7 linked regions of the Macaca fascicularis genome follow. The protein of the gene in region 4 interacts with the protein of the main gene of each other region in a biochemical or structural test. Links are inferred from orthologs where the notes say so. Each region holds a gene or a part of one and is shown on either strand. Other genes may lie near its edges. The genes, in order: MAP4, KCNA5, SCN5A, SNTA1, SCN4A, RPS6KA1 and SLC16A7.

Region 1 (4,262 bases), on a different chromosome or scaffold from region 4:
GAGGTTGCAGTGAGCCGAGATAGCGCCACTGCACTCCAGCCTGGGCAACTGAGACCCCATCTCAAAAAAAAAAATATACATATATACACACACACACACACACACATATACACACAAACACACACACACAAATTAGCCAGGCGTGGTGGTGGGTACCTGTAATCCCAGCTATTCAGGAGGCTGAGGCAGAAGAATCGCTTGAAACTGGGAGGCAGAGGTTGCAGTGAGCCAAGATCATGCCACCGCACTCCAGCCTGGATAACACAGCGAGACTCCATCTCAGAAAATAAAATAGAATAAAATAAAAATAAATGGCCGGGCATGGTGGCTTGCACCTGTAACCCCAGCACTTTGGGAGGCCAAAGCAGGCGGATCACTTGAGGTCAGGAGTTTGAGACCAGTCTGGCCAACATGGCAAAACTCTGTCTCTACTAAAAATACAAAAATCAGCCGGGTGTGGTGGCACATGCCTGTAATTCCAGCTACTCATGAGGCTATGGCAGGAGAACTGCTTCAACTCAGGAGGTGGAGACTGCAGTGAGCCGAGATCCTGCCACTGTCCAGCCTGGGTAACAGAGCAAGACCCTGTCTCAAAAATAGGTAATTAAATAAATAAAATTTAAATTTAAAAAATACCCACTAAGAATATCTAGTGCCTTTCCAATTCTATAATCAAGTACCTTTTTATTACTGATTAGGCAGCCCAGAACAATGGAGGTGTCCTGGTCAGTGGATAATTAAATCCAATTGTGCACATGGCACTTAATGCTTCCAACATACATTAACCAGTATCTGGTTTATCAGTCTCTGGTGAGTTTGTTATTTTGCATGAATAAATTCCAAGCACTTGAATCATCCCAATGTAAACCAAAATTCTGAAGTTTCTGAACTACTATGTGGGGGTTGGAGAGACCTTGGTTTGGTTGGATACTACTTTTGCCACTTAACTATCTGTGTGACCCCTTATTCCCATCAGTCTCAATCTCCTCATCTGTTAATAAATACAGCTAGTGACTGGGAGATGGCAAGTGCTCAAAAAGTGACAGCTTTATTATTTTGAAGCTAAATTTGAAAGGATGTGTATAACTGAGGTGAATACATTTCATTTGAAAAGAACTAGTACAGATCAGCAAACTACGTCAATTTAAAAGACACAGTTTGAAGAGAGATGTCCCAATCTATGGAGTTGAGAAAAGTAAAGTTTAAAAGTTGCAAGTAAAGTACACACTGCACAGTACAGACGGGAGTCTCCTGCTTAGCAACTCTAATGTTGTCTACCAAACACCCAGCTTGTAATAGAGCATGACAACTGTTCACTCTAAATCCATGTGCTCAGCTTGGATTCAGGATTGATTTATAAAAATAGCTGCTGGTGGTGCTCTTTGAATCTCTTTGCGCTGATGACTGGGCAGTGTTACCCTACAGGCCTAGAGCAGCTGTATTCCCTCACCACACCCATTTCTCTGTCTACCCAGCCAAGCTGACGGCACCCTGCCCCCGCCCCCCATCTCTACAGCATACTATTCTCCCTCCTCCTGGGCTGAGTGAGCAAATTACAAGCACAAATATCCCCTGATGCAATGCCACAACCATCCCTGGGAAAGAGCAAAGGCAGTTGCCAAAAGCACAGCAGCAGGGAAATGGGCGGGAGACGCGCGCGCGCGCGCACACACACACACACACACACACACACAGAGCAAGAAACGCTGCAATACTATGCAGCCAGGGAGAGAGAATTGAGAGGCCCTGGGGAGCAATGCTGTAACAGGACCAGAGAAGGCAAAGGAGAAAAGGGGGTTTCCAGTAGAAAGCTGGGTAACACTAACCTTCCCGAGAAGCACGTATTTCATCCGAGTTTGGGTTCTAAAGCACAAACCTATAAGGTAATCAATCACTGCCTCCTCCGCAAAACAGCAAATGAATTTAATTTACTCGTTCCTGGAAGTAAGCAAAACTCTCACAACTCTTCCACAGGACAATTTCACCAAAGGGATCTCACACGGGCAGAGAACTTGTTCCATGTGATAAATCACAATCTCTGTTCTGGGTAATGTTTCCAACTGCCCCTCCTAGTCCCTGTACCCTCCCCACCCCCACCCTAATGCGACCCCTCCGCACTCCCACTGCCAGACACACGCTTTAGTCCCCACACAGTGCTGGGGCCTTTGCATGCGGGAAGAGCCCCGCCTAGGGCCCGGTTCTCCAGACCACCCTTCAGCCCCACCCATAACCCCTAACTGGACACACTAAGGCTGAATTCAGCCTCACATCAACTGACCCCCATAAAGCCTCAGAAAACGACCTCTGAGTTCTCCTACACCCCCGAACCCCACCCAAGGTCCCAGACTGTGGCCGACCCTCGCTCCGCGGCTCAGCCCCATCCAAAGCCCGAGGCAAGTCGCTCGGCCCCACCGCCCCGACCCTCAAAACTGGACCTCTCAGCCCCCCTCAATCCAAGAATCCCCCAGATCGCGCCTCAAAGACTCCGAAGGTCACGGCCGCCGGCCCCCCGCCTGGCCCCCTCCCTCGGACGCCCCCGCGTCTCGCAGGCCGGCGGCCACCGCCCTTCCACGCCTCGGGCGGGCCCCGTGGGGTACCGGGCTGCCGCGGGACAAGGCGCGGGCAGCCCCGGGACAGTGAGGAGGCCGCCCCTCCATGGGACCCCGCCTGCGGCTGCACCTACCCGCCGCCGCCGAGACGGAGCCGGAGCAGGGGGGAGCCAGGAGAGCGCCGGGAAGAGCCGTGGAGGAGCTGGGAGACGTCGGGAGGAGCCGGGAGCCAGCGAGCGAGCCGGAGGGGCGGGGCGCAGGGAGGCGGCCGCTTCCTCGTCGCCCTCTTGAGGGCGGGCGCAAGGGAGGGACGCCGCCACCGCCTACCCGGCAGGCGCCGCCGCTCCGGCCAATAAGGGTGGCGAGGGGGAGGGCGGAGGGCTACGGCGGACCAATGGGTGCTGGCCTTGCTGCCACGCTCTCTCTGCAGAGCTGCGCGAGCCGCGGGCCGTTGTAGGGAAGCTTCTTACCTGCGGCTTGCGAATGCCGAAGCTGACGGCAGGCCGATCGATTGCCTCCGCTGTTCTATGATGGCCGTCGCTGTCTCTCAGAGTCTGGGCCCCTGGAGCGGAGAGAGTGCGAGAGTGGGCGCGCACGCGGGCCAGGCCACCAGAGGGTGGGGCCTGTGGGCTCTGTGATGTAACCTGGGAGGGGCGCGGGGCGGAGCCTAGGTCGCGGGCCAGCTGAGCTCTGGAAGGAACTTTTAGTGAAGCGGTAGGACGCCACAGGTCCTCTGCAGGGCTCCGCTTCCTGGAGCCGCATGTGGCTAGTGAACTCTGAAACGTGGCTGGCCCAAGTTGAGATGTGCTGTAAGTGTGTGTACAGTACACACACACCAGATTTCCTAGACTTAGTACCAAAAAATATGTGTTTTTTTAAAATGGTTACAAGTGGGATAATTAATTATAACAAAATTGATGACAGTTGGGATATATTTGGTTAAATAAGAAATATTGAGGCCGGGCGCGGTGGCTCACGCTTGTAATCCCAGCACTCTGGGAGGCCGAGGCGGTGGGTCACTTGAGGTCAGGAGTTCGAGACCACTCTGACCAACATGGCGAAACCCTGCCTCTACTGAAAATACAAAAATTATCCAGGAATGATGGCAAGTGCCTGTAATCCCAGCTACTTGGGAGGCTGAAGCAGGAGAATTGCTTGAACCCGGGAGGCGGAGTCGCAGTGAGCTGAGATGGTGCCACTGCACTCCAGCCTGGGCAACACAGTGAGACCCTGTCTCAAATGAAAAAAAAAAAGTTTCCTTTTCTACTGCAATTAACATTACTTCATCCCAAAGCCCCAGATTTTGTGGAATCCTTAACTTACTGTCGTAAGAAAACACACAGGTGGGAGCTTTAAAGTTACTTTGATCATTCTTCCTGATTGCTGGAGTAGTCAGCATATTCCTGTACCAGACTTCAGGAATAGAATTGGCTTTGAGCTCCTTTGTAGTTAGATGGCTAGGAAAACTGAAAAGTGTTGGAATCCTCCATTCTTTCTGTAAACCAAAAAGTGAGACAGGTCTCAATCAATTTAGAAATTTATTTTGCCAAGGTTAAGGACTTTCCCGGAAGAAAAAAACAGAATCACAGAAACAGTCTGTGATCTCTGCCTTTCTCCAAAGATAAATTTGAGGGATTCAGTATTTAAAAGGGAAAAGTGGGCTGGAGGGAACAAGAGAAAAGGAGCAGGTAGAGGAATAGTCAATTGTGTAAT
Region 2 (4,253 bases), on a different chromosome or scaffold from region 4:
GAAACAGACAGTGACAGACTATTTTTTAAAATGTCAGAAAACATATCAGCTGCAGAAAAACTAACACTTGCCTCAACAAGGTAACCTTTTATTTCCTGGGATTAAAAATAAAGAGAATAAATTATCAGAAGTATTCCTCCAATATCATTCAAATGCTTTTTGAAGAAAGTTACAAGAATTGTTTAAGGCGCACAGAAAAAGTCAGATTTGCCTTTCTTCAAGAACATTCTCTGCCCTAGACACAAAGCACCAATACCACATCCCGGAAAAGACAGAGGCTTGGAGACACAGGAACCAGAACAGCCCATACCAAGATCTCTGGCTCTAATATAAGTATCACAGAAAAACATCAGGGCAACTCTTTCTTCCATAAATACAACATGTATCTTGAAAATATATCCAAAATATCTCTATCTAAACTACAGTACAAAAAGCCACTTACCAGGCATAAAAATAATATTTTCCCCTATACACAAATGTAATCATATGTAAAGCAAATTTGGAACACATGGATGGAGGAGTTACGTAATCTCTTGGGATCTGGGCTATTTAGAGTCATTTTTGTTTGGGTTATCCCTCTGCGGGGTATAGGAGACTGGCTACAAATACATCCATCTCACAGCGCTTACCATTTCAACAGCTCCTGCGTCATGGAATGTGGTACTTTTTAAAAATAGGTGACCCTTGGGTGTCATGGAAAGAAGAGAGAAAATGGGGGGATTGAGGGAGGGAGGAAAGGAGTGAAAGGAGAGGGGTAGACTGAGGTTACAGTGTGACTTCAAATACTCTGCGGTATAATGTAAATATCCATGTTCAGCAAGCCTTCCATTCCCTACCCCACTGCCACCAGTCTGCCTGAATCTCCTTTTACAAATCTGTTTCCCGGCTGGTGTCCAGGCAGAGGGCATAAAGGGACCTCCGCAAGTCCACGTTGCTCTTGGCCTTGACGTTACACTTCTCTAGGGGGCAGCTGCTCCTTCGGGCACTGTCTGCATTCTCCAGGGTCCCCCCGGCCTTGCAGAAGGATCCCCTGCTCCCGCTGGACTCCTGGACCTTCCGCTGGACTCCTCTGTCCAGCCCCGGCCCCTGGCTCTGAGGGCCCTGCTCTTCCTTAAGGACTGCCGGCTCCTCGTGGTCCGTCTCCCGGTGGTAGAAGTAGTTGAAGTTGGAGACAATGACGGGCACAGGCAGGGCAATGGTGAGGACCCCGGCGATGGCACACAGCGAGCCCACGATCTTGCCCCCCACGGTGATGGGCCTCATGTCCCCGTAGCCCACAGTGGTCATGGTGACCACTGCCCACCAGAAGGCATCAGGGATGCTAGAGAAATGGGTCCCCTGGTTGTCAGCCTCTGCGAAGTAGACGGCACTGGAGAAGAGGATGACCCCGATGAACAGGAAGAAGATGAGCAACCCCAGCTCCCTCATGGAGGCCTGCAAGGTCTTGCCCAGGATCTGCAGCCCCTTGGAGTGGCGGGAGAGCTTGAAGATGCGGAACACCCGGACCAGGCGGATGACTCTGAGGATGGCCAGGGACATGGCCTGCTGCCCATTCTGGCTGCCTCCTCCGCCCCCTGGCTGTTGCTCTGCCAGCTCGGTGCCCAGGGTGATGAAGTAAGGGAAGATGGCCACCACATCGATGATGTTCATGATGTTCCGGGAGAACCCTGCCTTGCTGGGGCAGGCGAAGAAGCGCACGAGCAGCTCGAAGGTGAACCAGATGACGCACGTGGTCTCCACGATGAAGAAGGGGTCGGCCAGGGTCCTGGGCAGGAGCGGTGCCACCGTAGGGCCAGAGGGCGGGGCCATGACCCCGCTGCCGTTGGTCCCAGGGGCGGGCGCGGGAGGCTGGTGGGGCGCTGGGGGGTGGCGGAGCAGCTCGCGTTCATCCCTGAACTCGGGCAGGGTCTCCAAGCAGAAGGTGATGATGGAGATGAGGATGACCAAGACCGAGACGATGGCGATGGCCCGCGCGGACCCAGAGCTCTCCGGATACTCGAAGATAAGCCACACCTGGCGCTGAAACTCGTTGCGGGGCAGGGGCTTCTCCTCTTCTTTAATGAAACCCTCATCCTCGCGGAAGCGCTCCATGGCCTCGTCCCCCAGCTGGTAGAAGCGGATCTCGTCCGCGAACACGTCCAGGGAGACGTTGACCGGCCTCCGCAGGCGGCCCCCCGACTGGTAGTAGTAGAGGATACCGTCGAAGCTGGGCCGGTTGCGGTCGAAGAAGTACTCGTTCCTCAGGGGGTCGAAGTAGCGCAGGCGCTTGGCGGGGTCGCCCAGGAGGGTGTTGGGGAACTGCGCCAGGGTGCCCAGCTGCGTCTCGAAGCGCAGCCCGGAGATGTTGATGTGGACGCGCTGGTGGTGCAGGGACGCCGTGCCCAGAGCCTGGTCCTCCACCGTGCCCAGGCCGGGGTCGCCTTCTTCCTCCTCGTCCTCGGGAGGCGGCCGTCGAGGCTGTGGCAGCTCCTTGGGCAGCGGAGGCAAGGGCCGCACTCCCGGGTCCGCGTCTCTCTGCGCGCCGCGCCCCTTTGGCGCCGGCTCCTTGGGCCCATCGCTGAGCCCAGCCGTCGGGGGACACTGGAGCTCTCCCCCTGTGGCCTGGCCGCAGCCTGCCCGGGCCTCATCGCCTCCTCTGACGGTCATGGCACCGCCGTTCTCCAGGGGCACCAGGGCGATCTCCATGGCGCGGGAGCAGCGGGCATGCTGCGCCCCAGCTGACCTGCTGCCGCGCCCCCTACTCACGCTCCCCGGGCACCTCCCGTCAGGCTCCGCTCCCGCGGTCGGCCGGCCCCTCTCTGGGGCGAGCTGGGGTTGCTGGCGCGATCCCCTCGCTTGGCCCTGACGTCAAGAAGCCGCTGCCCTGCTCTCTGCCTCTCTCTCTTCTGGCAGCCCGTTACCAAGCAGCCGAAAAGCCTCCTTCCAGCAGATGCAACCTTCAGCCGTCCCTCTCTGGCTGCGCTGCGCTTGGCCTCCACCCTCGGCGCCTCCCCCGCCTTCCCCTCTCCCTTCCCCCTCCTCCTGCTTCCCCTCCCCCTCCTCCCGCTTCCCCTCCCGGGTCTTGTGGCAGCCAGTGTCTCCCCGAAGGGCGCAGCTGGTGCCCCTAGCAAGGGAAAGGAGGGGCTGAGAGGGGTGCAGCCCAGCGGAGGGAGGGAAGGAGTGGGGAGGATGGAGGAACAGGTTGTACCGAGAGCGCTGAAATTCCCAGGGCAACCAGATGAGAATAGCTCTGGATTTCGGTTCACCTGGGAACCCGCTGGAAGCCGAGTGGACTCCAGGGGGAACGAAGTGCCTTGGGCTAAAGGGAAGAGGCTTTGAGCTGAGTCGGAGTATGAGAGACAGAGACAGGAGACACCAGTCCTTTTTATTTTGGAGAAATAACGGTATTTCTTTGGGAAGAATTACAGAAGGGAGGGGGCCCACGTAGTTTCGGACCTTGAAATACATATATCAATGGAGAAGCATCTCTCTTCTCGTCTTCCTGCAGCTCCACAAAAATGTACTAGAGGGTTGGAACCTTGCAGGATTCGCATGCCCTAGCCTGTTTCCAGTATGGACCCAGTGGCAGCCCAGGCAAGCAGCCTAGTCAGTAGATGGGCTGTCTGGTCTCAACCCAGCAGAACCCCTGCACCCTCTCCAACGAATCCCATTTGCAAAAACCACACCAGGGGAGGGGAGAAGAGATTTTTACAATCCTAGTGAAGGCTAATCCTGTCTGGTGAATCTTGGAGCTAACAACTGCATCTAGGTCCATGAAGGAGGCAGAGGGTGGAGGTGGCTTATGAGAGGGAGCCAGGGAGGCTGTCCAATCTCCAAGGCTGGAGAAATCCCAAGAGTGGAATAATAACAACCAATACTTACTTCGCTGTTATTATGCACCAGCCCATTCTCAGCACTTCACAAATATTGTCTCTGCGTATTCCTACAGCAACCTGTTTTGTAAGTACTGTTATCATCACCATTTTACAAACGAAGAAACTGAGGCACAGAGAGATTGACAGACTCACCCAGGCTCACACAGTAGAAAGTGATGATGCTGGAACTCAAACTCAGACAATCAGAGTTTGGCCCTTGTCCCCTGTATTTCACTTCTCTATAGAAATGCATAATCCCTTTTCCTGATACAAGCACTCCCTCACTCCAACATCTGGCCTGAGAACTTTAGTTCCCTGCTGCAGGAGGCAGGAGGATGGCTGATATAACATATTAATCTTTCTAGGTTGGGACACTAGAGAATCTTCCCCTGCCCTGTG
Region 3 (3,500 bases), on a different chromosome or scaffold from region 4:
TGAATAGAGATTTCTCCAAGGAAGATATATAAATGACCAACACACACATGGAAAGATGTCCTGCATCGTTAGTCATCAGTCATTTGGTTTTGCAAATCAAAACCTCAAGGAGATATCACTTCACACCCACTAGGAGGGCTCCCATAAAAAGAATGCAGGCAATAACAAGTGTTGGTGAGGGCGAAATAATCGGAATCCTCATACATTGACAGTAAGAATGTAAAAAGGTGCAGCCAAATTGAAAAACAGTTTGGTGGTCCCTCAAAATTTTAGATAAGAGGCTTTCAGGGGCTGAGGGAGAGGGGAAATGAATGGGGAGTGACTATTAAATGGGTAGAGTTTCCTTTGGGGAAAGGAAAATATTCTAAAATTAGATAGTGGTGATGGTTGCAAAGCTCTGTGCATATACTAAAAAACACTGAAATGTATACTTTAAAGTGACTTTAAAGTTAACCATGAATTTTATGGCATGTGAATTATGTCTCAGGAAAGCTGTCATATAAAAAAAAAGATCTGAGCTCTGAGGTCAAACAGACATGGGTCAGGATTGGGTCTCTGCTTCTCCCTAGCTGTACAATCTCCCTCCTTTAGTGCTGAATTGACTGGGTGAATTGCATGAGGCAGGTATGTCTGAAAGAGTCTGGCATACACCTTGGCGGTTAGCTCCAGAATTTTCCATCTTCAGGGATAACTTCTACTCTGGAGGGCCACCTACTCCCCATCCTTGGGGACCCACCTCATCCTTAGTGAGCTTCCTTCTCCTTCAACCTAAGTGCGGGCAGAACTAGCCTCCACAGCACCCACTCCCATTCCCAGACTCATCCTTGAAGCTATCTAAGCAGTTAGAGAACTGTGTTCCCAGGTCCTCTGGAGGGTGGGGCCAGGAGGGAGTGCTGGGTCCTCTGCCAGGTTGGTCTCCTTGACCCAAGTGGACCCTTCCAGATAAGTTCTCTCTGGAGAGGTGTGTGTGTGCATGTATGTATGAGGGGAGGGGGGTGAGAAATGCACTGAAAAAAGAATGAAAGAACCTAGGGTTGTACGTGGCATTCAGCAGAGACTCAGGGGCCGGACGAGAGGCCTGGCTGGGGAGGGCTTCTGTCCAGCTGACTTGTATACCCACCCACGATGGAGAGGATGACAACCACGAAGTCGAAGATATTCCAGCTGTTGGTGAAGTAATAGTGGCGCAGGGCAGCCAGCTTGACAATACACTCGCCTGTGAAGATGGCCACAAAGAGCAGGTTGATCTTGGCCAAGATGTTGATTTTCTCAGGACTTTGGTCATCTGTCTCCACCATCATGGTCACCATATTCAAGCAGATCAGAAACATGATGGTGACATCAAAGGCCTGCTTGGTCACAATGTCGAATATGAAGCCCTGGTACTTGTTCTGAAAGGAGAGGCAAATGGAAAGCGCTCAGCAGGGCCCTTGGGAGGCTGGCAAATGCCCGTTTCTGCCTCTCATCCCAGGCCACCCACCCTCCCACTCTCCCTCTAGTGAGCCCAAAACCCCTGCCACACTGCCACAGAGAGTGCAGAGGAAAAACTCCTGGAGGTTAAAGCCATTGGCTCTCCTGCTGAAATGCTTCCTGGGCTTCAAGGCCCAGCTCCAAGGCTCCATCTTCCATGAGGACTTCCATGATGGATCTTCAGGGGGAGATTTTTCCTGCCCTGAGCATCCTTAGCATACTGTTCACTGTGCTTCCCTTTCAGTTGCCACAGTCTGAAGGCTCAAGGGTAAATTTCAACTTCAACCCTAGTAATTATGTCAGTGCTTAGATTAATATATTTTCTCTACTTTTTAATGTAATTTATTTATTGTACTAACCATATTTACATGTGTCTTTAATTGTAAATCAGCCCAGATTATTTGGGGAAATAAATAAGATTTTTTATATATATATATATACACATTTTTTTTTCTGTTCTCCCACTTAGAAAATATTATAAACAAACACACACACACACACACACACACACACACACACACACACACACACACACATTTTTTTGGATAATGGCTTGATTGGGCCAAGGGAGTCAGTCTTTGAGAGGACCCCACTCTCCAGAGCTCTTGGCTCTCCCCACCAGCTAACTCAGGAATCCGGCTCCCTGACTGTTCTGGGGGTCCAAGGATGAGGCTCTGAGTGGGGTGGGGTGGGGCTGTGAAGGCTGCCCTGCTTTTCCCGAGGAAAGCCTGCATCCTTGAGGGGAAGGAGGAGACCTGCTCAGAGACAGAGGGTTCCTGTGGGAGGAGAGTGTCCCGGGATGCTACATCCTTCTCATACCTTCCTCCCTATCTGTATGAGGCTGGGACCTCTCTTCATGCTCAGACATCTGATAGCGTCCCTCAGGCTGGGCTGAAAGACTGTGAGGTGGCCCTGATGGCTGGCCGTGTGGCATGAAAGCTTCCCAGGGACCCCAGAAGATCCTCCCCACTCCCACAGAACCAGGAGCTTAGCTCACCAAGGGCCGTGGGATGGGCTTCTGGGGCTTCTTGGAGCCCAGCTTCTTCATGGCATTGTAGTACTTCTTCTGCTCCTCTGTCATGAAGATGTCCTGGCCCCCTAAGTGCAGAGAGAAGGCACCAACCTCATTCTGGGGTTCTCAGAGGCCCCAGCATGGAGGGCACCAGGATCTTGCCTCCTTGATGAGGATGCCAGGGTCAACCACCTCCTGGCTTCCTCTCCTGGACAAAATATGTCCCTATTTTGCACCACAGATTCTTCCCCAAATCTATTTATCCAGGAGCCCTGTCCCCTTTCACCTTGAGATCTCTCTGGCTTTATGACCTGCAAATCCAGTATCCACCCCCCGCCCTTTCCCCCTCCTAGCTCAACCAGCCTTCATGTTCTCTCTGTTCACTTAGTTTGTCTACAACCCAGTTATAGCCGCTCTGATGAAGCTCTGGGAAGACCCAGGGCCTCTGCACAGGCTTTACCCATGACCTCTGATCATGGACCAGGTGAACAGATGCAGCTCTCACACCAGCTTCTCCCAGGAGTCTCATCTCTCAGGTGGATTAGGGCAGACATGGGGCCTCCCACCAAAGCCCCTTCTTATGTTCTTACAGGCCTAGACATGTTACATCCCTGGACACACCCTTCTCCCCACCTCATTCCAGCAGCAGCAAGAAGAGAACCATCCCCAGCAGGGAAGGTGAGATGGGGCCCGGAGCCCGAATGGCCCCTCAATCCCCTGGCACCCAGCCCTGCTCTGCCCAGCCCAGCGGGGAGCTGGTGCTCTACATATCTTTTTCTTCTGTTGGTTGAAGTTGTCAATGATGACACCGATAAAGAGGTTCAGGGTGAAGAAAGACCCGAAGATGATGAAAATGACAAAATAGATGTACATGTAGAGGTTGTATTCCCACTGGGGCTGCTCTTCATACTGTGAGGGAGAAATCACACAGGGAGATCAGACAGGCTGGGGTCTCGGGGGTCACATGGGGAGGGGTGGGGGGTGGAGGCAGAGGGCTGGCTAGGGGCATCCATTCTGT
Region 4 (4,105 bases):
CTCAGTTGTGATTACAGGTGTGAGCCACTGTGCCCAGCTGGGGGTGCTCTTAGCTACTCCAGGAGGCTAATGTAAAGATGAGATAACACATGGAAAATACTCTGCTAGCCCTAGCTAAGAGTAAACAGTCACTAAACGAAAGTGATTATAGCATAGAGTCACAGTTTACCACGTGTTTTCACATTGATTTAATCCTCACACCAGCCCAGTGAAGTAGGTATTATTATGATCCACATTTTACAGATGAGGAAATTGAGGCCTAGAGCAGTAACGTGAGGGGACCAAGGTCGACTTGGAGCTAACACAGGCAGCAAGGATTAGAAACCAGGTCTCCAGAGGCCCAGACCCAGAGCCCCACCTTGCAGCCTTCCCCCACACTAGGAGTTCTGGGTTTTTCTGCCAGGCCTCAAAGTGTGGGACTTCAGGCTTTTCTATACTTGACTGCGAACACAGCCAGGGATTAATCTCTTAAACTTCCCTCCAGTTTTGAAGTGGGGATCCTGCCCACCCCCTCCCCAAGCCCTAAGTGGAGTCGGCAGCTCTCTCCTCCGGGGGCGGGGCCTGTCCCCTTTAGAAGCCACGCCAACGATAAGCCACGCCCACAGACCAAAGCCTCGACCACCTGATGGGAAACCAGCTTCTTCCTCAGCTCCCCAACTAGTAACTCTGCCTGCAAGGTCTCTCGCGGCTCAGCGTCCACCTTTCTGTTTTTTTGACACAGGGTTTCGCTCTGTCACCCAGGCTGGAGTGCAGTGGCGCGATCGCGGCTTACTGCAGCCTCGAGCCCCTGGGCTGTCATCTAGGCCTCCCAAGGTGTTGGGATTACAGGCGTGAGCAACCACGCCTGGCCGGTGTCTACCTCTTAAACTCAAGCCCTGGAGCCCAGACCACCATACGCAGCCCAGTCCTCCGCCATATGCAGCCCAGCCCGTTGCCCAGTGCTTCGCACCAGGATACGTGGTTCTGTTTTTTTTTCATGCGCTCCCACGTCCGGGAGCTACAGTCCCGGCCCTCGATGGACATGCCGAGCGCAGAGCCCACTGCGCGGGCTGATTGGGTTCCGCCCACGACGCGAAGCCCCGCCCCCCGACGCCCAGCCCAGCACCGCGCCTCCCGGGCTTTTCGCCTTGCCTAGTGGTCCCGCCACGCCGCCCTTCTGACTCGCCCCCTAGGTAGTCTCACACTGCGGCCCTCGGCTCCCGGGCCCCGCCCCGGCCTCCCGCATTTGCCCGAGGCCCAGTCCCCAGCACTGGTCACACCCCCGGGTAGCCCCGCCCCTAGATCGCCTCCCCCAGCGGCCCGGGTAGGGTGGCGGCTGGCCCAGCGGGGCCCCCGCTGCCCTCTGCCCTGGGAGCTTGGTCGGAGCGGGCTGGGCACGGCGGGACAGGGCAAGCGCGGCGTCCCGGGGTCTCGGAGGCGAAGATGGCGTCCGGCAGGCGCGCCCCGCGCACCGGGCTGCTGGAGCTGCGCGCCGGGGCGGGCTCGGGGACCGGCGGCGAGCGGTGGCAGCGGGTGCTGCTGAGTCTGGCGGAGGACGTGCTGACCGTGAGCCCCGCCGACGGCGACCCTGGTCCCGAGTCCGGCGCTCCGCGGGAGCCGGAGCCCGCGCAGCTCAACGGCGCCGCAGAGCCGGGCGCGAGGGCCCCGCAGCTGCCAGAGGCGCTACTGCTCCAGCGGCGCCGCGTGACGGTGCGCAAGGCCGACGCCGGTGGGCTGGGCATCAGCATCAAAGGTGGGCGCGGGACACCGAGGGCGCGGGGTCGTGGTGTCTGGGGGCCGCCGAGGGAGCAAGGGACTGGCAGCGCGCCCAGGACATGGAGCTGGAGGCCTCCTGTCCGGGGGTAAGGGAGGTCTGAGGAAACAGGTAACGGAGGGCACTGGGCGCACCAAGGTCGGAGTGGGTTTCGGTAGTTGGTGGCCTTAGGGGGCACGGAAGACACAGGTGTGGAGGAGATTGTGGGAGCACCAAGGACACGTGGGTGGGAGTTCTGTGTGGAGGCGTGGGGATCTGAGAGGCAACCAGCATGAACATCAAGGACAAGAGGGGTCCCCCGGAAAGCAGAGGGTGGAGAAAGGGGGTTGAGGCCGGGATACTAGTGGGACAGGGAAGAGGGAGTCCCTGAGAAGCAACCAAGGTGGGTACAGAGGGGAGGCCTGCAGTCTGCGAAGCACAGGGGTGGATAGGAGGCCTGGGTGCAGGCACAGACTGGGGTCACAGGCAGAAGGCCAGCAAGGACCTAGGAATCTAAGGACCCAGGAAGGCTGCGGGGAGCCCTGACAGCTGGATTTGGGTCTCCTGATCTGACCATCTCCACCTTGCACAGGATGGAGCTTTCAGTCCCCAGGACTGACTGCTAGTGGGGTGCAGTTAGGGTGCAACCAGACTGTGTTTGAATCGAGGATCAGCTGTGTGAGGTTGCAAAAGTCCCGTCCCGTCTCTGAATCTCAGTTGCCTCAATTGTATAAGAGGATGATAGAGTTGTGATGTTTCTGAGAGCAGGGCTCACCACACCAGCACATTGTAGGTGCCTTAGTTAATTACTGCTGTTAGCGGAGAGGAAAAATGGAGGCCAGGAGATACTCCCAAAGCAGCTAAACATAGTTCTCAAAATCCTTGCACACCCCCAGCTGCTGGGTTCACTATGCTTGCCCATCGGCTTCTCAGGATCCCAGCCCCTAGCAGGGTGCTTTGGGAAAGGGTGTCAGCCTTTGTTTCCACCTTGAATATGTACCGTACCCTCTGGGGTCTCCCTGGTACTGGTTCTGTTGATGAGTGCCTCCAGACTGTTTGGCTTGGCTGAGGTGGTGTAGATAGTGGTGAATGCCACCACTGTGTGCCAGGTGCTGTGCCCAGGACACTAGTCTCATGATCCACTTCATCCTGGCAACAAGTGGTGAAAGGTAGGGAGTATAATCCCCATATTGCAGATGAAGAAACTGAGACTCAGAAAGGTAAAATGATTTTCCCACCATTACACAGTGAGTGTCAGCGCTGGGATTTGAACCTTAGTTATCAGCTACTGTCCCCCAGAGAGTGCTCAGGGAAGTTGATTCTTTTCCTGTAGAAGGGCAGATCCCGAGGCACCCAACCAAGAGAGGCTAAAAAGGGGAAATGGGAAAATGAGGGTATGGGCACCAGTCTTACCCTCAATCTCCAGCATGGGATAGGGCAACAGACCAATCCAAAAATTATACACTCAGTGTGTCAGAGCAGGAAGGAACTTATTCATACAGAGTTCCATTCTGCAGATGGACGCACTGAGACTCAGGAGCAGGGACTTTCCAGGGTCACACAAAGTTACTCCCCAGCTCCATACTTCTAGGTGGAGGGGAAGGTACTTTTAGTAGACTTCAGGTATTTCCACTGGATCCAAATCTGGGCTCCTGTTGCCATGGTAACCCCTCCTATAGAGTCTAGCTTAGTCTGAGGCAGCCATGAGTGATCATAGCTTCAAACTGAACTGAAGCCCCTAGTTTCAGGTGGGGGAGGGCAGATATAAATAGAAACCCCTTCCTCTCCTAGACTTCAAGCTCTGTGCAGATAAGCAAACGGTGGGGCCTGCGTGGGTGTCAAGAGAGGTGTTCCAGTCCCAGCTCCGCCAGCAGCTTGTGTGACCTTGGAACAATGACCTCCCACTCTGGGACACTAATTCTTCATCTTCAGTATTCTGGGGATGAGCCAGGAGTGTGATATCTGAGGGCCTGACTTGCCGTCTGTGGTAGGGTTAATAGTGTTGGTTCTTGAGCCTGGAGGCCTAGGTGCAAATACTGGCTTGCTTTGCTACTTACTAGTTGAGTGACCTTGGACAAGGGGCTTCCCTCCACACTTCAGTGTCTGTAATAGGAAACTGAGCATGCCTACGTGATGGGATATTGTAAAGACGCAATGTTGGCATTTGGTACATGCAACTAAGGTGACCTATTATTACTATTTCTTATTTTAAAAGGGCATTTAAGAGTTTGGTAATAAAGCCGTTTAGTAAAATGTATTAGCTTCTTTTGTATCCAAGATGCCATTCAGGTAGGTTTTTAGAATCGCTAGACTCTAAGGCTTTGGTTTCCAACCTGGATTTTGGATTGTAAAACATTATGATTGCTAAAGCAG
Region 5 (3,500 bases), on a different chromosome or scaffold from region 4:
CTGGGTGTGGTGGCACACACCTGTAATCCCAGCTACTTGGGAGGCTGAGGCAGGAGAATCACTTGAACCCAGGAGGCAGAGATTGCAGTGAGCCAAGATCGTGCCACTGCATTCCAGCCTGGGTAACAGAACGAGACTCTGTCTCTAACTAAATAAATAAACACAAATAAAGGTTTTGTTTATTTCTGCAGGACTTTTCAGAACCTTTGATAGGATCATCTACATAATGACTCTCCAAGAGCAGAATCTAGAGCGCAGCTTTTCCCAAACATTATCAACCCCCTGCTTTTTAAGGGTGCAGCATGGGAGATTAGTGTTCTGTTGAACACACTTTGAGAGCGTTAACCTAGTGACATGTATTAAGCTCCACTCTATGCCTTTGTTTGCTCTATAGGTCAGGCAACAGCCCATTAGGTCTTTATAGTTCCTTCTCCTAGTGGCTGAGCATCTGTGGCCATTTGAAGGCTCCAGATTGAGGATGTGATCAGAGAAGGGTGGGGTTAATTTCAGAAGGCTTCAGGGAAGTAGTGGTGCTCAGTAAGTCAAGCCTTGAAGATGGAGTAGGAAAAAGCTTGGTGGTGGAGGCTGGGGGGCTCTGTTATCACCCTGCACTGCCCCCTGCCATTATCCTTGCCCTCTCTGCGGTCAGGGCTAAAGACGATTGTGGGGGCCCTGATCCAGTCGGTGAAAAAGCTGTCAGATGTGATGATCCTCACTGTCTTCTGCCTGAGCGTCTTTGCGCTGGTGGGACTGCAGCTCTTCATGGGAAACCTGAGGCAGAAGTGTGTGCGCTGGCCCCCGCCGTTCAACGACACCAACACCACGTGGTACAGTAATGACACGTGGTACGGCAATGACACATGGTATGGCAATGAGATGTGGTATGGCAATGACTCATGGTATGCCAACGACACGTGGAACAGCCATGCAAGCTGGGCCACCAACGATACCTTTGACTGGGACGCCTACATCAATGATGAAGGTAAGAATGGAAGGTGGACAGGCAAAGGGGATCCTGTCCCAGTCCCTAGGGTACCCTCTGTTCCCACATTTTCTTTCTTTTTTTTTTTTTTGAGACAGAGTCTCACTCCGTCACCCAGGCTGGAGTGCAATGGCGCCATCTCAGCTCGCTGCAACCTCCACCTCCTGGCTTCAAGCGATTCTCCTGCCTCGGCCTCCCAAGTAGCTAGGATTACAGGCATGTGCCACCAGGCCCAGCTAATTTTTTAATTTTTAGTAAAGATAGGGTTATATCATGTTGGCTAGGCTGGTCTCGAACTCCTGACCTCGTGTGATCCTCCCACCTCAGCCTCCCAAAGTGCTGGGATTACAGACGTGAGCCACCGCACCCCACCCTGCCTTCACTTCTTAACGAGACAAATAGGCTGGCGAGGACCTGAGCTTAAATCCAGCACTTCGCAGCCTGTGTCACCTCTGACTAGTCACTTGATCTCCCTAGCCCTCTGAATCCTCACCTATAAAATCAAGATAACAATCCCTTCCTCAAAGGGTTAGTGCAACAACAAATGGCAAACTGTTTTAAAAACCCTAAAGTGCCAGGCATGGTGGTTCATGCCTGTAATCCCAGCACTTTGGGAGGGCGAGGCAGGCAGATCACCTGAGGTCAGGAGTTCCAGATCAGCCTGACCAACGTGGTGAAACTCCGTCTCTACCAAAAATACAAAAATTAGCTGGGCATAGTGCCTGTAATCCCAGCTACTCGGGAGGCTGAGGCAGGAGAATAGCTTGGAACCTGGCAGACGGAGGTTGCAGTGAACCGAGATCACGCCATTGCACTCCAGCCTGGGCAACAAGAGTGAAACTCGGTCTCAAAAAAAAAAAAGAAGAAAGAAAAGAAAAAGAAAAATCCTGAAACTCTCACTATACAAAGCAAGTCTATAGTTCCTACTCCCTAACCTGTGCACCCCCTGTCCTCCTTCATCACACCACATGCTCACACCCTGGCAGGGTCACCGTCACATACCCACACACCCACATCCTATTCACATATGCATCTTCACAGGCACACATGCCAGAAACACACACTTTCTCACACAGCCACTGTTAGTCTACATAGTGCCTTCTTGCAGATTAGGAAAAGATACCCCTTCTCACCCTGGCACCTGGATTCCAGCCCCCACACACCCTTCACTCAGGTGCCCTGCAAAGGTACACAGTAGCCCCATGCACACATGTACACGTTCCCTGTCTGTGCTGCTGCTGCGTTCTGACTTTTCGCCCACACTGGGCACTGGGCTGACAGTGCTTGCAGCTGAGCTCCCTGCCAAGTCCCTACCCAGAGACCTTGGAACTTGGAGCTGTCCTTAAAGGATGGGGAAGAGGCAGCCAGGGAACATCCATTTGGTTTATGTGGTACACGCAGACCTGTCCACAGGTGTGCAATGGGCTCAGGTGCTCACACTGTGTCCATGTGGGTGACTTGCCTCCTCTGTGGCCTCTGACTCCCAAAGGGAACTTCTACTTCCTGGAGGGCTCCAGCGATGCCCTACTCTGTGGGAACAGCAGTGATGCTGGGTGAGTGATGCTAAGGGATGCAGAAAATGCGCCCCAGGGGTCTTGGAAGGTGGGAGCTGATTGAGACAAGGACCTGGGGTGGATGGGAGTGCAGGGAAACCTATGGGTATGGATGGAATACTTTTCTGTTTGGGGGACACAGGCAGAACTGACAGATTTTCTTTCCCTTGGGGCCCCCATCTGTCCCCAGCTGGAGTGCTCCTCCCACCCTAAACCTAGCCCCCTGTCCTATCCCTAGGCACTGCCCCGAGGGTTATGAGTGCATCAAGACCGGGCGGAACCCCAACTATGGCTACACCAGCTACGACACCTTCAGCTGGGCCTTCCTGGCTCTCTTCCGCCTCATGACACAGGACTATTGGGAGAACCTCTTCCAGCTGGTACAACTGCCCCAACCCTGCCTCCCAACCCTACAGCCACTCCCCCCCCATCCCTGCAGCCTCTTCAGTGCCTGATGGGGCCTACCGCAGGATGGCCAACCCCTCAACTGGGCCATCTCCTCATGGACTCCCACAGTGCCTTTATAGGAGCTTGCGCTCTCTGAAACTGGACACCTGCTCCGAGCCAAGCCATGGCTTTAATTTTTTCCACACCTTGGTTTTCAGAGACGAGGTCTGGGCCTAGCACAGGCACAAGCCCAGGAACCCTTAGGCCTCACAAGAATCAGTAGGGCAGCTTAGAAATTCAGTGCTGCCTGCCAGGCGCGGGGGCTCACGCCTGAATCCCAGCATTTGGGGAGGCGGAGGTGGATCACGAGGTCAGGAGTTCGAGACCAGCCTGGCCAACATAGTGAAACCCCCGTCTCTACTAAAAATACAAAAATGAGCTGAGTATGGTGGCACGCACCTATGGTCCCAGCTCCTCAGGAGGCTGAGCAGGGAGAATTGCTTGAACCCGGGAGGTGGAGGTGGCAGTGAGCTGAGACCATGCCACTGCACTCCAGCCTGGGTGACAGAGTGAGACTC
Region 6 (3,500 bases), on a different chromosome or scaffold from region 4:
AGAATCGCTTGAACCTGGGAGGCAGAGGTTACAGTGAACCAAGATCGTGCCACTGCACTCCAGCCTAGTGACAGAGCGAGACTCCGTCTCAAAAAATAAAAAAAAAAAAAGATTTGAGCTAGAAAATGGGGTCATTCATACAATTCAGACTTTAAAGAGAATCTAGCCTTTTTTGTTTTTTTTTAATTGTAATTTTTTTTTTTTTTTTTTTTTGAGATGGAGTTTTGCTCTTGTCACCCAAGCTGGAGTGCAATGGCAGGGTCTCAGCTCACTGCAACCTCCGCCTCCCGGATTCAAGCGATTCTCCCGCCTCAGCCTCCCGAGTAGCTGGGATGACAGGTGCATGCCACCATGCCTGGTTAATTTTTGTATTTTTTTTTTTTTTTTTGAGACGGAGTCTGGCTCTGTCACCCAGGCTGGAGTGCAGTGGCTGCGAACTCGGCTCACTGCAAGCTCCGCCTCTCGGGTTTACGCCATTCTCCTGTCTCAGCCTCCCGAGTAGCTGGGACTACAGGCGCCCGCCACCTCGCCCGGCTAGTTTTTTGTATTTTTTAGTAGAGACGGGGTTTCACCGTGTTAGCCAGGATGGTCTCGATCTCCTGACCTCGTGATCCGCCCGTCTCGGCCTCCCAAAGTGCTGGGATTACAGGCTTGAGCCACCGCGCCCGGCCAATTTTTGTATTTTTAGTGGAGATGGGGTTTCGCCATGTTGGCCAGGCTGGCCTTGAACTCCTGACCTCAGGTGATCTGCCTGCCTCAGCCTCCCAAAGTGCTGGCTGGGATTATAGGTGTGAGCCACGGCACCCGGCTTAAATTGTTATTTTCCCGAGTAGCTGGGATGACAGGTTCATGCCACCATGCCTGGTTAATTTTTGTATTTTTAGTAGAGATGGGGTTTCTCCATGTTGGCCAGGCTGGTCTCGAACTCCTGACCTCAGGTGATCCGCCTGCCTCAGCCTCCCAAAGTGCTGGCTGGGATTATAGGCATGAGCCACCGTGCTTGGCTTAAATTGTTATTTTAATGTTTGAATAGGAAATACATTTACATGATTCAAAAGAAAAATATTCACGAAGAAGTCTTACTCCCGCCCCAGCCCCCTCTATCCCCACCCATAAACGTTATTATTGCTTTCTTGTTTAACTTTCCCATGTTTCTTTTGCAAACAAATCTGATATATATTCATTCCTACCCCCACTTCCTTATGTAAAAAGTACTATTCTGTATCCACTGTTCTGTACCTTGCTTTTTTCAAGATAGTACATCTTGGAGCTCACTCCATCTCAGAACATGGAGAAACTCCATGTTCTAGTTTATAGCTGCAAAGCACTCCATTATGCAGGGGATACAACTGATTCCAGCCTTCTACTCTTGGACCCTAGGCCTGTTTCCAACCCCTTCTATTTCCGAACGATGCCACAATGAGTGGTTTGCGTATTAGTCATTTCATACTTTGTATGACAAGAAGGCTATATGGCCTGGCGTCTCCAAGGGTCCTCCCAGGGTGGCCCTTCAGGACCAGGAAGCTGCTGACTGCCCAGTGCCCCAGCTCTTAAGGAAGAGGAGGGCCTGCTGAAGACCCCTCCTGTGTTTTGCAGGTGATGTTCACGGAGGAGGATGTGAAGTTTTACCTGGCCGAGCTAGCTCTGGGCCTGGATCACCTGCACAGCCTGGGTATCATTTACAGAGACCTCAAGCCTGAGAAGTGAGTGAAGCCTCCAGCCCCACCCCTGCCTCCCCAGGGGAGGCCTCTTCTAGGACAGGGCCATCCTGAGGTGGGTGGGCATGGCTTTCTCCAGGAACGTCCTCCTGTCTTGGGCAATCTGAGGAATGGGTGAGTGGGGTGGGTGGTAGTGCCAGCTGCCCAGTCACTAATGCTACCGTTCCTAAGGGCCAGGTACCTTCCATGCAGGTAATGTTGCCCATCTTTTTTTTCTAATCTAGTGTGACATTGGAGAGGCTACCTTTAGAGGTCTTTCCTTGATACAGCCCTGTAGAATTTTCCCTAATATCTAACTACCCTCAAATGATAACTAAGGAGCCAGGGGCAGGTGGTGAGTTGGAATAAGATCTGGGTTTAGCGTTAGGTAGCCTTGTATTCAAATCCTGTCTCCACCTACTAGCTAGACCTACTAGCTTGATGACTGTAGAGCTACTTAACTGCCCTAAGCCTTAGTTTCCCCATTAGCAAAATGGGGCCCTAATAGTACCTGCCTCACACAGTTGCTTCAAGGATTAGCAAAAAAGATAGGCAACATCCCTGCATGGCACTGCTACCACCCTGCAACGCCCACCCTGTCATCAGAGATAACTGGGTGGAGCACCTCCTCTGGGCTGAGCCCAACTCCCACAGCCCTGTGGTGACACCACCACCCCCATGGCCACAGCTGAGGAGCCCTGACCCCTATTCCTCTATTACAGCATCCTTCTGGATGAGGAGGGCCACATCAAACTCACTGGTGAGTGGAGGCCGCCTGTCCCCTTGAGCCCCAGGGGAGGGCAGGGCAAGGTCCTAATAGGTCTCGCTGAGTGCTGGGGCCTCATTCTTCCTGAGAAGCTGTGCCTGTTACTTGGAAGTGTTCAAAAACTCAGGCCTCAGACTTGGAACACCCTCAGTTGGAATCCCAGCCCCTCATTGTGTAACATAGGGCAGGTCACCTGACCTCTCTGGGCCTTAACTTCCTCCTGAGTGTCATGGGGGTGATGGCTTCTGGCCTCTGGGCACGGGGGTTGGGTGTGCAAAGGGTGGCAGCAAGGAAGGCAGGGTTCCTGAGGTGTGTCCTCCTGCCCTCCTTGCTGTAGACTTTGGCCTGAGCAAGGAGGCCATTGACCACGAGAAGAAGGCCTACTCCTTCTGCGGGACAGTGGAGTACATGGCCCCCGAGGTCGTCAACCGCCAGGGCCACTCCCACAGTGCGGATTGGTGGTCCTATGGGGTGTTGATGGTGAGTGCCCAGACAGGGGTAAAGGATCCAGCCCAAGCCTCTGGCCTCAGTCTCCCCATCTGTACAGTGAGGGGGTTGATCATCTCTAGGGCTCTCCCCGTCTCCTCTCACAGCCAAGCTGGCCTCACTCTATCTTCAGCTGTGGTTTTCTTCCTTGGAAGGATCCCAGGCTTGACCCCACCTGGGACACACCTAACCCAGTGCTGGCCTTCTCCCCAGCCTCGCGCCCCCACTGCTGCGCCTGGTGGTCTGGGTTGGCAGAGGCAAGAGGGACGGATGTAATTCTTGCACCAGGAAGACTTGGATGTATCAGCAAGAATCCTGGGACTAGGGCAGAGGGGCCTGGATGGGAGGAGGCGGGAGGTGTGTGGGGGAGACAGGGATCAGAGCCTGAATAGACCCTTGTCCTCTGCAGTTTGAGATGCTGACGGGCTCCCTGCCCTTCCAGGGGAAGGACCGGAAGGAAACCATGACATTGATTCTGAAGTAAGCCCCAGGCCTGCCCTGATAACAATGGACTCCTCCAAGCCCCAGCCCCAGTTTGGGGGTCAGAATAT
Region 7 (4,223 bases), on a different chromosome or scaffold from region 4:
GATAGTCTTCAGAGAAGGATCATCCTCCCCTCCTAACATGAAGAAAAATCCTTCATTACCTGTTTTTATTCATTAAGGATCACTATTAATGAACAAAAAACGGGCTGAATACAGGTTCCTGAGAAAAGACACTCTTCTCAAATTTGCCTTTTAGCAGATCTTACCAACATCTCTTACAACTGCGGAGTTCCTTTCAAGTTATTTGGGATATATGTTTCTTCCATCAAGAGGAGAAAAAAAAAGGGGGGCACTAAAAGGCAAATGGGATACAAGAAAAGATTAACCTGGATGACTGCCTATATGAGAACTTCTTGAGAACAGAATTCCAGCCTCATTCATCTTGGTAACCCTGGTAGGGTGTCTAGACTGATTATAGGAGCTCAAATATAGCCTGTCTAAATTCTAGGTGTTTACCACACACTTTATTCTTCCCAATAGCATTTCAAAGTGGGTACCACCAATCTCATTTTATAGATAAGAAAAAGGTAAAGCCCTGATTGTTAAACAACTACTCAACCTTACAAAAGTGCAGAACCAATCTGTTCTAAAGTTAATTCCCTTTTTCCATGTGAATGTCTCAAAAATGTTTGGTGAATGAATACAGAATTAAAATCAAATTCTGGAGATGCCTTTTATTTCAGATCCATGATCCAGGAATATGACTCTAGACAAGGGAGGTTTCTTTAGGTAATGTTTCTCTCCTTCCCTTTAAAAGAGCTCAAAGCCAAAAATATAAGCCAGACATTATCAAAGAGCAAATGAATGTCTAGAAATAAACTGAGCATTTATAGAAGGATACACTAATTTGAACTTTGGGAAACAGGTGTTAAAATTTCAGATCACTTAATATTAAAACATGCCTTGGGGGAAAAAATGTAATATGTAACTGCAAACTGTTGATGTATTTACAAAAAATAGTTTCTGACTTTGTAAGTTGTTACACAATACACTGAGTTTCTTATGGTTATAATCTTTCCTTTCCACTGAGATCATTCAGTCCCTCACTTGGATTGCTTTAAATGTAATGTGCTCAGTTAGAAGTAGAAGCTGGAGTTAGGATTGCTTCACCGGGGCTAAATATTAGTCACTTTGCTCAACCCTCATTTGCCCTCTCCAGTCCCCACCCAACTCTCATTTTTCAGCCACACTCCACCAAATGCATACTTAGTGCTTGTGGTTCCAGTGACACAACACATTCAAGCTAACCTGTCTGTGGAAAGTTGGCAACCCTCTGAGTTCAGACTGGGGTTAGCCATGAAGCATGGGGTGACAGGAAATGGCATCCAGTAGTCACTCCTTCCTCTGGTCCAGTCTTTTTCACATCACCTTCATCACTGCCCGCTATTTTATTCTTCTGCTGTGTCTCCTTTGGGACCCAAGAGGGAAGAAGGACATGAAATAACAGCTGTCCTAATGCCACTAACCAGCCCTAACGCAACGCAGCCTAGTCCTACTTATTTCTCCGGGAAAGGCAATCAAAAAACAATTATAGAGAAACCACTCCTCATTTCCTCTTCTATGTCTCTCGTGTGTGTGAGTGTGAGTGTGTGTAAAATTTTAATTTCCCTGGAATTGGAACTACAAAAGTCCCTCCTCAGCCCTACCGGGAAAGTGGTATTGGGCACGACCGCCCTTTCCAAGGCAGTCTGCAATCGTTTTCGCGGAAGTAGAGGAGAAAAGCGGGTAGAGAAGGGAGCTGCCATGCAGCATCCGTTGGGAAAACAGTTCGCACGTGAGCGGGCTCGCACGTGAGCGGGCTCGCAGCCTGTGGCGCCACCTGACCGGGCCTAGTGCCCCCAGTGTGGTGCAGTAGCTCAGGAAGCCCAGCAGGCACAGGCCCTCCTGAACCCTTGCCAAGTCAGCGCTCCCTTTCTGCCTGGGCTCAGGCCTCGCCCGCATACACTTTTCCATCTGCTTCCACCCCTGCCATCCTTCCTGGGGACCAAAAATGAAGAAAGACAACCCCCACGCCCCAATCCCCCGGTATTTCGTCTTCCCCTCGCAGCCTCTTCCTGTCCTGATCATCTGCTCAAAGAGAAGACGTTCCCTACACACACCCTCACCACCCCCACCTCCACCTTGTGCAGCAATGAAGCCACGCTACCCTAGGGGGTTCGGGGGCCGGATGCTGGCAGGGCGCGCACTAGAGACACGCCGCACGCAAGCAGCCCTCCGAGTCTCGTGAGCCAGGGAGACTGGGGTGCACCGCGCCACGCTGAGTCTAGGTGTAAAAGCCTAGAGCGTGGGTACCTCCTGGCCGAAAGCACGCGGGGCGTTCCTTGCCCGGGACCCCGCACACCCCCAGCAGCTCCCGGGCCGCTGTCGGCGCTCACTGGCTGACGCGAGCTCTCCTCCCGCGGCCGCTTCGGGGTTTTTTGTCTATATAAGGGCTCGCTGGCCAACTCTGCGTTGGCACGTTTGTCACAGGCTGGCCATTATTTGCACACACGCGTGCGGCTCCGCGGGCAGCTCGGGTCGCAGACGCGGGCTTTCGCTCCTCTTCGCCTGCGCCGCCTCCTCGTCCTCCTCCTCCGCCCCCCTCCCTCCCCAGCTGTACTTACTTTATCTGGTCTCTGGCGCAGGGTGGGCGCTGCAGCTCTCTGTTCCCCGCAAGCCGCAGCCGGTTCGCCTTGCTGTCAACGGGTGAATGGAATTATTTATTTATTTATGGCCCCTGACGTGTCCTCGCCCGCCACAGCCAGCGGAAAAGGAGGCGGCGGCGGGAAGGGGAGGCGCGGCTGCTGAACGCCCGTGTGGGTGCGGAGGAGCGCGCGCCGGGGGTGGGGGCCGGACAGACTGCGGTGGAGGCCGGCCCGGGGGGTGGTGGGGGGGAGCCGCCTCCCGGTGCCTGGAGACCGACTGAGCATGCTCCAAGCGGCTGTCAAAGCTATAGGCAATTTCTCTATCGCTCGGGGCACTCCACTTCGGATTTTAGTTTTGACCAAGGAAGAAAGCCAAAAGGCAGGTAGATCTGTCGTTTCAGATGGGTCGTGACTTGCTGTATCCGAAGTACTCTGTAGCCTGACCTAGGAGTCAGGTGTGGGGTAGCTCTGTCTAGATATTCCAGAGAGTTGTGTAACCCATGCATGGGAGAGGAAAGCATGCAAAAAGAGAAGAGTCTGGCCGAATGCAGGGAGAATAGGAGATCCTCACTGTGAACTTGCAGTGAAAGTGTTGAGCCATTTTTCAACTGAGGCCTTTTTGGGAGAAGGAGGTAGTGCACTGTTGGAGATTAGACTCACTAACCAAATCACTTTACAGAAAAAAATAAAATTGACACCATAGGAGGAAGGGTATGGAAAACAGCACCAAAAGACATTAAAAATAAGGATTTTTTTTTTTTTTTCAAATCATTTATAAGTAATTCCTTTCATTTTTGGTTTCTCCAATTATTTAGTTCTTCAAACCAGCATTTAGTTATTTGACAACGAATAGTGCTAGAGATAATGGTAATTGTGCAGTCATTGGTTTGGTCTCTTCCTCTGTCTAAAATATGCTTCTTGGGAAAGTTGGAAAGAGGAAGGGCTGGAAGAGAACGTTTAACCTACCCCAAAGATTGAGTTTCTTTAATAACTTTAAGTTAAATTGCCACTTTAGAGAAAAAGAAACTATCCAAAAGAATAATTGTAGGTTTTGACTTGACAAGTCCTATTGCAGTTTGTCTACCAGTTTAACTAGCTTTCTCCTCCTTGATTTCACAATAATCCTTTTAAGATGTGTTCTATGATTCTTCACATTTTACAAATTTATAAAAAGATAGTTAAGTCATTTGGGTAAATTCACACTGTCTTTTGCCGCAGCTAGTCTGTTGTAATGGACAAAATTTGAATTTCAATTTCTGTAGCTATGAAATAAAAGTAATATCAATCTTGGGTTGATTTCATAAGATTTAAGTGAAATAATATACATGAAGTGGCTGGTAGGCATAATATAAGGTGAATAAATAATGGTGATTAATAACTTCAAAATTATTGGAAGATAATTTTATTGAAAGAATGATATTTGAAACTGAAAAAAAAGGCAGAAAATTACAGAAAGGATTTTATATTTTTAAGCTAAAAATGCTTAAATAGACGTTTGTGTAAGACATAATAGGCATTTTGATAATGATGGAATGTCTAGCAGTGACTCTAAATACTTCATTTAATTACAAAAAAGTTAAACATTTCAAAGAAACAACATGAAGGCACATTTCAAGGTCATATTCTTGAGTGTTTGCTATT

Evidence for each region.
Region 1: the proteins of SNTA1 (region 4) and MAP4 interact in a test that uses a peptide from one of them, tested with the Homo sapiens proteins (2 studies listed by BioGRID and IntAct). The link is inferred for Macaca fascicularis from reciprocal best matches to the Homo sapiens genes SNTA1 and MAP4.
Region 2: the proteins of SNTA1 (region 4) and KCNA5 interact in a test that uses a peptide from one of them, tested with the Homo sapiens proteins (2 studies listed by BioGRID and IntAct). The link is inferred for Macaca fascicularis from reciprocal best matches to the Homo sapiens genes SNTA1 and KCNA5.
Region 3: the proteins of SNTA1 (region 4) and SCN5A interact in a test that uses a peptide from one of them, tested with the Homo sapiens proteins (2 studies listed by BioGRID and IntAct). The link is inferred for Macaca fascicularis from reciprocal best matches to the Homo sapiens genes SNTA1 and SCN5A.
Region 5: the proteins of SNTA1 (region 4) and SCN4A interact in a test that uses a peptide from one of them, tested with the Homo sapiens proteins (2 studies listed by BioGRID and IntAct). The link is inferred for Macaca fascicularis from reciprocal best matches to the Homo sapiens genes SNTA1 and SCN4A.
Region 6: the proteins of SNTA1 (region 4) and RPS6KA1 interact in a test that uses a peptide from one of them, tested with the Homo sapiens proteins (2 studies listed by BioGRID and IntAct, with this or other methods). The link is inferred for Macaca fascicularis from reciprocal best matches to the Homo sapiens genes SNTA1 and RPS6KA1.
Region 7: the proteins of SNTA1 (region 4) and SLC16A7 interact in a test that uses a peptide from one of them, tested with the Homo sapiens proteins (3 studies listed by BioGRID and IntAct, with this or other methods). The link is inferred for Macaca fascicularis from reciprocal best matches to the Homo sapiens genes SNTA1 and SLC16A7.

Annotation. Positions count from the first base shown.
Region 1 is NC_088376.1:111,017,679-111,021,940, forward strand, and holds the start of MAP4 (microtubule-associated protein 4), read right to left. Parts: upstream 2,801-4,262; 5' UTR 2,684-2,800; intron 1-2,683. UniProt on the Homo sapiens protein: Non-neuronal microtubule-associated protein. Promotes microtubule assembly.
Region 2 is NC_088385.1:5,921,109-5,925,361, reverse strand, and holds KCNA5 (potassium voltage-gated channel subfamily A member 5), read right to left. Parts: upstream 2,801-4,253; 5' UTR 2,686-2,800; coding exon 868-2,685; 3' UTR 68-867; downstream 1-67. UniProt on the Homo sapiens protein: Voltage-gated potassium channel that mediates transmembrane potassium transport in excitable membranes. Forms tetrameric potassium-selective channels through which potassium ions pass in accordance with their electrochemical gradient.
Region 3 is NC_088376.1:100,616,734-100,620,233, forward strand, and holds part of SCN5A (sodium channel protein type 5 subunit alpha), read right to left. Parts: intron 3,392-3,500; coding exon 3,250-3,391; intron 2,573-3,249; coding exon of another isoform or gene 2,569-2,572; coding exon 2,468-2,568; intron 1,392-2,467; coding exon 1,121-1,391; intron 1-1,120. UniProt on the Homo sapiens protein: Pore-forming subunit of Nav1.5, a voltage-gated sodium (Nav) channel that directly mediates the depolarizing phase of action potentials in excitable membranes.
Region 4 is NC_088384.1:89,451,582-89,455,686, reverse strand, and holds the start of SNTA1 (alpha-1-syntrophin), read left to right. Parts: upstream 1-1,305; 5' UTR 1,306-1,422; coding exon 1,423-1,732; exon of another isoform or gene 1,733-1,864; intron 1,865-4,105. UniProt on the Homo sapiens protein: Adapter protein that binds to and probably organizes the subcellular localization of a variety of membrane proteins. May link various receptors to the actin cytoskeleton and the extracellular matrix via the dystrophin glycoprotein complex.
Region 5 is NC_088390.1:70,572,429-70,575,928, reverse strand, and holds part of SCN4A (sodium channel protein type 4 subunit alpha), read left to right. Parts: intron 1-649; coding exon 650-982; intron 983-2,471; coding exon 2,472-2,535; intron 2,536-2,773; coding exon 2,774-2,915; intron 2,916-3,500. UniProt on the Homo sapiens protein: Pore-forming subunit of Nav1.4, a voltage-gated sodium (Nav) channel that directly mediates the depolarizing phase of action potentials in excitable membranes.
Region 6 is NC_088375.1:208,560,760-208,564,259, reverse strand, and holds part of RPS6KA1 (ribosomal protein S6 kinase alpha-1), read left to right. Parts: intron 1-1,596; coding exon 1,597-1,703; intron 1,704-2,419; coding exon 2,420-2,457; intron 2,458-2,800; coding exon 2,801-2,943; intron 2,944-3,358; coding exon 3,359-3,429; intron 3,430-3,500. UniProt on the Homo sapiens protein: Serine/threonine-protein kinase that acts downstream of ERK (MAPK1/ERK2 and MAPK3/ERK1) signaling and mediates mitogenic and stress-induced activation of the transcription factors CREB1, ETV1/ER81 and NR4A1/NUR77, regulates translation through RPS6 and EIF4B phosphorylation, and mediates cellular proliferation, survival, and differentiation by modulating mTOR signaling and repressing pro-apoptotic function of BAD and DAPK1.
Region 7 is NC_088385.1:66,480,480-66,484,702, reverse strand, and holds the start of SLC16A7 (monocarboxylate transporter 2), read right to left. Parts: upstream 2,801-4,223; 5' UTR 2,562-2,800; exon of another isoform or gene 2,251-2,561; intron 1,367-2,250; exon of another isoform or gene 1,207-1,366; intron 1-1,206. UniProt on the Homo sapiens protein: Proton-coupled monocarboxylate symporter. Catalyzes the rapid transport across the plasma membrane of monocarboxylates such as L-lactate, pyruvate and ketone bodies, acetoacetate, beta-hydroxybutyrate and acetate.